Oryza sativa Japonica Group: one gene and its partner. Each later gene encodes a partner of the first gene's protein in a complex. Links are inferred from orthologs where the notes say so. Each region holds a gene or a part of one and is shown in the gene's direction. Other genes may lie near its edges.

Region 1 (6,152 bases):
TTCAAAGATGGTCTGTTCCAATGGAAACGGCTAGAAAACCTTATAGTTCTTGCCAAGGAAAACGTGTCCAAGATGAGCAGCAATCCTGCACTAAAAAAGAATAGCTCGTGAGTATCAGAACTGTCTGTTCTATAACGCTCTAAATCTTATTTCTAGAAATACTCTGATCTTGTGAACCACTAGGCAAATTGAGAGAAATCGACAAATGGAGAAGAAATTAGATCTCACCGACACAATAAAAGACGGAGCACGTTTGTTCCTTATCGACGCTGGCATCAGGAGACAACTTATTATGGCTTTCACGGAGGACTCCAAGTTGCATGTAGAAGAGGTACTTTAACATGGATTGTTCACTACAGTATTCACACAAGTTGTATACTAAGGAAAGATGGAAGATAATTTTTCCAGTGGATTACTGTAACCCATTTCTCTCTTTTGCAGCTTGTTGATGTGTACAGACTGGTCGAAGATCAAATCGACATTCCATCAGTTGCTCTCGAGGTTATCCAAGGTAAGTCAGTCGACCTATGTTAGTTGGAAAAACTCTCCTGTTCTTCCATTTGAAATGCATTTACTTTACTTTTCTGTGCAGATTTACCATCCGTCGCGCGCGATTTCATGCTTTCTTGGAGCGATTCCATCCTGTCAGATCGGCAATACTGATCTCAGGTTAACAGTTTAGAGCAGCAAGCAGAAGTGCTGTCAAGACCTGCAGGAGCCATTCTTCCTTCAGTTAACCTACACTAAAATAGATAGATATAGATGACTACATTTTTCCTCTTTGCTGTACACAATTTGGTTTGCTATTCTTTTCTATAGTATATCATTGTATAGGAAACTTGCCATCTGCATTTCATTTATATATTTTCGATGGCTCTGTATATGCCGTTTGTATAGCGGAAGAAAAGGAACTTGTATATAGAATGAGCTTGTATTGTGGGAGAAAGTAGCTATATGTGTACATCGAGGAAACTTACATTATAAGATCAGATCATATGTTTTGCATGTTATAGTTCCCTGGTGACAACTAAGCGCTTTTTTTAAAAAATACGAACCGCACAAAAAATGTGTGAGGCTTCATATCAAACTGTTCAAGATTTTATAGCCTAGGAAGACTATGATTAGGAAAAGAAAACATAACACCAGGCGCCGACGGCTCCTACGCCTAAGCACATCGGGTCAGTTGGTTCAGTTCGACATCTAACGGCAGGTGTTCTACAATACATTTTCTCAGCTTAACTACTAAACAATACTCTCATTTCTAAATATTTGACACAGTTGACTTTTTAGCACATATTTGACCATTCGTCTTATTCAAAAACTTTTATGAAATATATAAAACTATATGTATACATATAAGTATATTTAACAATGAATCAAATGGTAGGAAAATAATTAATAATTACTTAAATTTTTTAATAAGATAAATGGTCAAATATATTTAAAAAGTTAACGACGTTAAATACTTAGAAAGGGAGGGAGTATGTTTTTTTTTAAAATTTTAGCTAATAGTTAATTAATCGTATGTAATCCGCCGCTTCATTTTCATTTCCTGAGAAAGATGTTCCCCTGCCGAACTCAGAATTTTTACAAGTAAAATAATACTAAGAAAGAAAGAATTACATGTTCGGGGATGTAGCTCAAATGGTAGAGCGCTCGCTTTGCATGCGAGAGGCACGGGGTTCGATCCCCCGCATCTCCATTTCGTCAATTTTTTTATCCCATTTTTCTCCATTTATCGTTAGCCATTTCATCCCTTCTTTCGACTGAGGTCTGAGGATATAGCTGTTATTTATCCGGCTACGAGCCAATGCACGTAAACAATCTCCATCCATGTCCAAACTGGCAAGAAGCCAAAAACCCAAAACGAAACATGTGGATTAGCCTTTTCGTTGTGGCGTGCAAAAACAATTTACCCGAGGATAGCTTTATTTTTCTAGTTTTATGTGGTATAGGCGTAAGTAACAATCGGTTGGAAGGATAGCTAAAATTTTTCATCTCCATCGTTTCTCTTGGATTGAGATCTTTCGAGTGCAGTCAGAGAAGCACGCTGTTGTGACTTTAGGGTATTCTCAGCCGTCCGATCTATAACGAACGGATGAGATTGATCGCTACAATACTCTAGAGTAACACGCGAGCAGTATCTATGTACAGTATAGTTACTATTTACCACTAATACTATAGTAAATAACTGCAAAATCACTGTTCCACACGGTAGCACAGGATACAATTTACTTTGCTCCTCTCCCTTTAGCACTTAAAATTTAGAGCCGGATCCCATTTTCTTGGCGTGAAGCTATACGTGGGCCCGGGAGATGCCATGCTGGCAGGTGGGCCCCACGCCAGGGCCCCACCTCATCGCCTCCTCACCACGTCTCGCGCCGCAGCGTATGCACACCTCCTCAGCCTCGAGCTCCTTTGGAATGCACCACCACCTCAAAAAATAATAACAAAAACAAAAGCACTCGACTCGACTCGTGCGCCGCCGCGCGCGCGCACGCACGCACACTCCGGCCTCGCTCGCATGGCGGCGTCCACGGCATCCGCCCCGTTCACGCCGCTCCTCCACCGGCGGCGAGCGAGCGTCCACGGCCGGCGCGGGAGCGGGAGGGCGTTCGTCGCCGTCGTCGTCGCGGCGGCGGCGGGGGGCGCGCCGGAGACGGAGCCGTCCCCGGCTACGGCGGCCGGGGCGGCGGCGCAGGGGAAGAAGAAGACGGTGGACACGAGGATACACTGGTCGGACCCGGACGAAGGGTGGGTCGGCGGGAACGCCAAGAAGGACGGCGGCGGCCGGAAGAAGGAGCCGCTCGGTGGGAGGTTCGCCGACCTCATCAACAACCCGTCCGAGTCTCACTACCAGTTGAGTGCTACTGCTGCCTCTCTTGTCCCATTCTTCATTCATAATTGAACAAATTTCAAAATGACTTGAATTTTGGACAAACTTCAACCAAAATTGAATAAGTCTCGAAATTTCCAACCCGTATGAAAAAAAAAATCACCGTCCTAGTCACAATACCAATTGAGTGTTAACTCCAATGCATAGCGAATATTAGTAAATAACTTAATACCAAAATAACTAGAAGGGGACGAGGCTTTGAGCTTGGAGCTAGCCAGAAAACCCATTGATGTTTTTCGGAGATTGTTTGGTTTCGAGACAATTTTTAGGGGATGTGCAGGGACATTTTTTTTTCTCCTAACAAAACCTTGCCAATTTGCCAATTTTTGGTACTACCTATAGAATTTGAACTTACCTGAACAAATTCCAACAAAAAACTTGTACAAAAAAAAAATCAAACCCAGGTTCTTGGGGGTGGAACCGAAGGCGGACATCGAGGAGATAAAGGCGGCGTACCGGCGGCTGTCCAAGGAGTACCACCCGGACACGACGTCGCTGCCGCTGCGGGAGGCGTCGGAGCGGTTCATCCGGCTGCGGGAGGCGTACAACGTGCTGAGCCGGGAGGAGTCGCGGCGGTTCTACGACTGGACGCTGGCGCAGGAGGCCGAGAGCCGGCGCCTCCAGCAGCTGCGGTCCAGGCTCGAGGACCCCTACCAGCAGGACCTCGACAGCTACCAGTCCGTCCCCGACATGGTCGACCGCCTCGGCGGCCGCAACATGGACCTCAGCGACCAGGCCATGACCGCGCTCACCATCGACATCGGCATCATCATCTTCTGCGTCTTCTGCCTCATCTACGCCGTCTTCTTCAAGGAGCAGTACTAGATTATTCATTCATGCCAGGAAGAAGAAATTTTCAGGTACATATACACTCTCAAGATGTTGTTTGCTATACGTACGGGTGTATCATGATGTAATGCGAAATAAGTACTGCACATCCACACCAAGTAACCAAATGTCCCTGTATCCTGTATTTTGTCCACAAAATTGGATTGTTGCAATGTGTAAATAGGCTCTTGAATGAAATTATTGAAAAAGCAAGTATGGACCTAAAATGGGTAAATTGCCAAACAGCACAATTGGCCTTCCCTATTCTAGTCTCAATATCATGTCAAACAAGAAAGAAAGCAAAAAGGTAATCCGCCTCTGTGTGGTTGAAACTCTTGGACGGAATGTGGTAGGTGTCTAATCTTTTACGAACTGTCACACTCGATGATCTTGACAACAGATGAATCGCCGATCTTCTGGAAAATGATCAACCTGTCATAGGGCTTTAGCATACCAACCGAGCGACCATAGTTCTGTGCAAGTTTTATCCCGTACTCTTCCCTGGTGAGCCCACCAGTTTCAGCCTGTTACAGAAAGTGTTCACGCATATGTACATATTAAGAACAAGTTGAAATTTTAAAAATGCCAAATGGTAATTAAGAGGGGATAATGCAGCTATCATTTTTGTAGAACTACAAAGAAAATTTGCATTGTGGGCTACCGCAAGATGCAAGTTTTGGCATTGCAAAAAAGCAGAAAGTGAAGGTGCCTCTAGTATTTAGCAACTTCAACATACCTCCTCAGTACTCGCCATCAAAGGGTAGACACCTCTTGCAGCAAAACATTGCCTTGCCTGAAAGCAACATAGAAGTGGTAAAATAAGTTGGCATATTCTGTTCCACGAAATGAAAGATTGTTGTAAAACCCAGACAGATATTATAGATATACATGTTACTTACCTGAGTTGTGCCGTAAGAACGCCACTTTGTTGGATCAGAGCCCTCACGTGGGAAGACAACGGCCAACACTGGCATTGGTGGCTTGTACTTGGCAACTAACCTGCAGACAGGATGCATGAAGTGAATTAATAGCACTTGAATGATGGAGGCTTGAAAGGAGTTAATTGTGGAGTACCTGGCAGCTCTTCCTGAGAAAGTGAACACAACGATTGCAGCAGCTTTTACCTTCATTGCAGTGCGAACCTACAAGTGAAAAAATGGATTATCACAATAAATCCTTGATAGCAAAGTAGTATCTGTTCCAAATGAATTAAGAGTGTTTACCGCTGAAGATGCCACAGATTCTTCATGGGGCATTGGATCACCTACATGCTTCACTAATTTCTTGAAGTGAACCAACTGGTTATACACAGACTCAGCCTACAAGCATTTACCATTGATCAGTCAAGAAATTTGGATGGCTCTATTGCAATATTGATGGACAGAAAGAAACATACTTCTGCACATATTCTCCCAACAGTACTCACTGCATCAACTGGATAAGGGCCTCGATGAGTCTCCGCACCAAGCAAAATGCCATCCGTTCCTGCCATTTTTGCAGTATAAGAGAAACTAACAAATTTGTCAACTTGTTGTAATATAATACAGGTTTACAGACCATCTAGGACAGCATTTGCAACATCAGTGGCCTCTGCACGTGTTGGGCGTAGATTGTCAATCATGCTGTCCACAACTCTAGTGATGATCACAGGTTTGCCAGCAAGATTGCATTTCTTAATAGCTGTTTTTTGGGATATGAACACCTGAAGTTCCAAGAGTGAGAGAGGTCATGGTATGAAGCAAGGCATGTAATCATGACATTTTTCCAAATTATGAGTACAGAACAACGGTTCATGCACTAAAATTTCAGATGGATCAACAGCCTATCAGAGAAGAATGAATCACTTAAAGCGTAACTTGATAAGCAATTGATGATAAGATTTTGCACCAGAATAATGAAGATATTCTCATAACTACTATTGGCAAGGCGTCATGAATAAAATGAATATGCACATGTCCAACAGCATGATAGGGATAAATAGTGTATAATGGGGTTTTGAGGAAAAAAATAATTTACATCTTCTGGTGGAAGGTCAATTCCCAGGTCTCCCCGTGAAATAATGACGCCATCAGCTTCTTGGAGAATTTCATCAAAATGATCCAAACCCTAGAAAGGAATAAGCAATGCAGTTAATTGTAATGAGGGAAGTGAAAAGCCCGACAATAATATTTTCATAGAAGCAGGGTAAATACCTCAGTATTTTCAACCTTGGCATATATCTGTGTGTCCTGAAGGCCATGAGATTGAAGAAAAGATCTAAGCTGCATGCCAAATATATGTAAGGATCAGTGGTGTTGCACAACTTTATTGTATATATCAAGATTTAATGCACAAATAGCTTAGATGCTAAGGGAAACATGTGGTCACAGGTACAGGGAGAACCAGTAACACCATGTCTATGAAATATAACACATAAAATTGAAAAACA
Region 2 (4,438 bases), on another chromosome or scaffold:
TCTTAACTCGATTTGAGCGAATGGCAGTGCTCAGACATGGCGGTCATGAAGGCGAGGCTACGAGCCATGGACCGGGAGTTCGTCGTGAGGAAAGTGTGGGACGGGGAGACGGTGGTGGACCAGCTCTTCTTCCACGACCCCGACGGCAATATGATCGAGGTCTGCAACTGCGAGAACCTCCCCGTGATACCCCTCATCGTTGCATCGACGCCCGGGCTTCCTGAGCTGCTGCCGCCGGCGATGCAGACCAATGTCCATGGCTAGCTCGAGCTACGTTCTTATGTCTCTCCTTTGTACATAAATACATGATTAAATTTCATTCGTTTGAATTGGTTCATTCGTACGTTAGTTGTAAGTATTCTATTTGCTGCACCATGCATACACGTTAGTTGTAGTAATTGATTGCTGCCAAGATTACATTACTGCCCAATATATATATATATATATATGAACAAGTTGTTTATATATAATAAAGTGTTTTAAGTGTTCCAAGTCTCCGGTGTACGACGTACATGTCTCCCAAGTATTTTACTCTGTTCGTCCCATTTTAAGTGTAGCCATGATTTTCCGCGCCTAATTTTAACGGTCCGTCTTATTTAAAAAAAATTAAAAACATAAGTCACGGGTAAAGTGCTATTCATGTTGTATCATCACATAACAACAACAAAAATACTAATTATAAAAAATTTTCAAATAAGACGGATGATCAAAGTTAGACACGGAAATTTATGGTTGCACTTAAAATAGGACGGATGGAGTAATCCTGAACAGACTTTTCCCGCCTGAGAAAGCTTAAAATCACTACAGAGGCTTTTGCTTTGCCTTTCATGTGAAGCGATCATCACAAAGTGAAAAGGAAAAAAAATTACTCTCGTTATTTTAAAGGCCATGGAGTATGCGTATCCTCTGCTTTTGCTGTGCCGAGGAAAAGTGGGTTACTTCTTTAAGTATGAAATCACCGTCACACCACATGGAGTTATAAAAAAACAGTCACATACAAAGTTTTGTCAGAAATGCAACAGTATTTATCCATACCACACGAGAGCGCGTGCTGCTCAGCTCTGTCATGCAATGCAACAGGCCGTGCCAACGTCCACAGCCCAATACATTTGTGTGGTCAATTGGCCCAGAACATGTACGAGTCGCTGAAACCCAGTGCCAGAAATAGCCCTTATCCACACAAGCCACACACAGCCAGTGGCTCCAAGGCGGCACGGCACGGCAGCTTAGCCGCGCGCGCGCAGGCGCAGCAAACCTAAAAAAACCACCACCACCCACGCAACACAAACACAAGCCAAGCCAAAGCCAAGCGAAACAGCTGCGCGCAGCATGGCAACCACGGCGTCCCCGTTCCTGTCCCCGGCCAAGCTGTCGCTCGAGCGCCGGCTCCCGCGCGCGACGTGGACGGCGCGACGAAGCGTCAGGTTCCCGCCGGTGCGAGCCCAAGATCAGCAGCAGCAGGTGAAAGAGGAGGAGGAGGAGGCGGCGGTGGAAAACCTGCCGCCGCCGCCGCAGGAGGAGGAGCAGAGGCGGGAGCGGAAGACGAGGAGGCAGGGGCCGGCGCAGCCGCTGCCGGTGCAGCCGCTGGCGGAGAGCAAGAACATGAGCCGGGAGTACGGCGGGCAGTGGCTGAGTTGCACGACGCGGCACATCCGCATCTACGCCGCGTACATCAACCCGGAGACCAACGCCTTCGACCAGACGCAGATGGACAAGCTCACCCTCCTCCTCGACCCCACCGACGAGTTCGTCTGGACCGACGAGACGTGCCAGAAGGTCTACGACGAGTTCCAGGACCTCGTCGATCACTACGAGGTATACTACGCACCGTAACTCATAGGCAGAATTGGCAATTGCAAATGCAGGGTAGCAGTAGTGTACACCCATGGTCTCTTTCTCCAGGTGGAAATGTTAGTTGTAAGAGCTTAATTGGTAGTACCTGCTTAACTGACCTGGATTGAATTTACAGGGCGCGGAGCTGTCAGAGTACACGCTTCGTTTGATCGGATCTGATCTTGAGCACTTCATCCGCAAACTGCTATACGATGGGGAGATAAAGTACAACATGATGTCTAGAGTCCTCAATTTCAGCATGGGCAAACCAAGGATCAAATTCAACAGCAGCCAGATCCCAGATGTAAAATAGAATGCGTGTTGTACCCTAAAGAGAAAGCATGTAACTATCAATGATTTTCCCGTTCAAAGATGCCCAATGTATATTTTGCTCTTCCAGAAGAGCCATGAGCTAGGGTATTTCCGAACTCAAATCGGGTTCATACAAAAGCAGAACATTCACAGTCGATAATAATTTTGTCGACTCCAACATGGTTACATAAAGAGAAGCTGAGCAAACTGAGGGTATTACCCTGTCGTGAAGACTAAGGAAGGGTCTAGCACTCTAGTTTCATGGCATTTCCGTTCTATGGTTTTTGCTGAGTATTAGCGGTGTGAAAATGTCGATACTTCAGGTAATCCAATCACATTGAAATAACACCACTGCTTTATTGCTTTATGATGGTGAGATCAGGTAGAACATGGAATCCAGCCCTCAAATTCACAGGCAAAACTCAATGTTAAATTATTTGCAAAGAGGATGTGCGCATATTCCAATAGGGAATTATTTCTCGATCATTGGCAATATATTTATTTATCTCATTCCATATAGATACGAGACAATCTCTGCTGATGACATTACGTCACCCTTAAGAGAGTCATTCCCGCAAATAGATGTTTAATGTTTTGGACTTGAGGGTTTGACCAGCTGCAATGTGTAAATCTCAATCGATCAAAGGAATAACCTCGTGGTCTTTAGAAACATCAACCCATGGCCTGAATTGATCTTCATGTGCATTATTCTGCAAAAGAGTGTCATACAATTCAAAAATTGCCAATTACAAAACTGCATCTCAATCTTTTTTTAGAAAAATGCCATCGCTGCATTAAGTACTAATGTCATCATGCTACTTAGGTAGTTGTGTTGTACTAAACTGCAGAGTACAATTCCACGCAGTAAGAAAATAGTACTATTCAGTAATGCTGCAAATAAACTGTTTACGCTGCTACTTATATCAGGCTCACCTAGACTGATCTTAAAATGAACTGTATATTGAGCAGCAAATGAACCATCTATTCCGACTTAGAAAAAAAACATCTATAAGTTATCGAAAGAACACATTTGCTCTAGCAATAGTTCTATGTGGAGGGACTAAAAGATTTTGATGGTTAGGTAAGTCTTGTGCATAAGAAAGAGATGGTGGCAAGTACAAACTAGAATCATGAAAGCAGGTAATTCCTACACTGTTTATTTATTAAGAAACCAAAGCAATATTAATGAGGTTACCTGCAACCAGAAGAAAAACCCACGCATCAGAGCTAAACCATTTGGAAAGCTAGTGTGCATAACTTGGTCAACGAGATCTAAAGTTAAATAAACAAAAAAGACATTTGTTAGTGCAATAACCATGTAGAACTGCCAACAGATACATTATGTAAATCAGCCAGCAATACGCTATGCTACTAGTTTATAGTCAAATTTAAAAGTGGCAATGGTGTTTATAAGCAACAACAAAGAAAGCTAAGTGATCTGTTGAAGATAAAAGAAAGCTTCTCAAGAAAAATAAAACTATCACTTTCTTAATATCTAGTTTTGATCTTGGTATGGATCTCTGCATATAAGCTCAAAGTTTAAGCAAACCAATTGATAAGCTGACACTGTCCATACACTGCCGCTGGTGGTTTTAAAAAACATCAATCAAAGTGCTCCCATATCTGTAGATATCTTGGGCACAGAAATACTTTAATACTGAGACTTGGAGGTTCAACACTCTAGTAAAACTAATGCAGTGGCAATTGTTCAAAATAACATGGCATGTTTTCTTCTGGCCTTGCACTCACTTTTTCCTTTCGGAACCATTAGTCCTACAAGCTTATTTGCAAAATTAAGTACATCAAAATGTTGTTCTAAGATCCTATGCCTACAACTACACTCCAGAGATTAAACCAACACATCAATAAGCTATTTTGACTGTATACTAATTGGTCATGAATGTAACATCTTAAGAAGAAATTTGTAAACTTATAACAAACAGTTGAACAAAACTAACATCAATAAGCTATTTTGACTGTATACTAATTGGTCATGAATGTAACATCTTAAGAACAAATTTGTAAGGTTATAACAAACAACTGAACAAAGGGTTAATTTGTAAGGTTATAACAAACAAAGGGTTATAACAAACTATACTTAACTTGCAATGTTTGAGCGAGAAAACTATGAACACATGTAACCATAAATTATGGTCAACATATATTCACAAAGTGCAAATGGTTAACAGTCTGTAACAGAATATTAAGATTATCCATGGATTTAACTTTACCCAGTTACAATGACCATAAATATAATTCTGAGGAAAAATGCAATACACAACAGAATAACCAA

The links. Proteins that work in one complex are often made in the same cells at the same time.
Region 2: NAD(P)H-quinone oxidoreductase subunit T, chloroplastic (region 1) and nAD(P)H-quinone oxidoreductase subunit M, chloroplastic share a complex: the UniProt entries of both Arabidopsis thaliana proteins name them as parts of the chloroplast NDH complex. The link is inferred for Oryza sativa Japonica Group from reciprocal best matches to the Arabidopsis thaliana genes NdhT and NdhM.

Annotation. Positions count from the first base shown.
Region 1 is NC_089045.1:6,120,557-6,126,708, reverse strand, and holds NAD(P)H-quinone oxidoreductase subunit T, chloroplastic, read left to right. Parts: upstream 1-2,467; 5' UTR 2,468-2,524; coding exon 2,525-2,859; intron 2,860-3,300; coding exon 3,301-3,721; 3' UTR 3,722-3,988; downstream 3,989-6,152. Other genes in the region: protein ACTIVITY OF BC1 COMPLEX KINASE 1, chloroplastic, read left to right, coding at 1-107, 184-331, 442-511, 593-663; pyruvate kinase 1, cytosolic, read right to left, coding at 4,090-4,248, 4,461-4,517, 4,624-4,723, 4,799-4,866, 4,948-5,043, 5,121-5,209, 5,282-5,426, 5,741-5,830 and 1 more. UniProt on the Arabidopsis thaliana protein: NDH shuttles electrons from NAD(P)H:plastoquinone, via FMN and iron-sulfur (Fe-S) centers, to quinones in the photosynthetic chain and possibly in a chloroplast respiratory chain.
Region 2 is NC_089038.1:27,480,412-27,484,849, forward strand, and holds nAD(P)H-quinone oxidoreductase subunit M, chloroplastic, read left to right. Parts: upstream 1-1,289; 5' UTR 1,290-1,329; coding exon 1,330-1,815; intron 1,816-1,969; coding exon 1,970-2,146; 3' UTR 2,147-2,510; downstream 2,511-4,438. Other genes in the region: uncharacterized LOC4336529, read left to right, coding at 28-264; uncharacterized LOC4336531, read right to left, coding at 2,778-2,855, 3,341-3,417. UniProt on the Arabidopsis thaliana protein: NDH shuttles electrons from NAD(P)H:plastoquinone, via FMN and iron-sulfur (Fe-S) centers, to quinones in the photosynthetic chain and possibly in a chloroplast respiratory chain.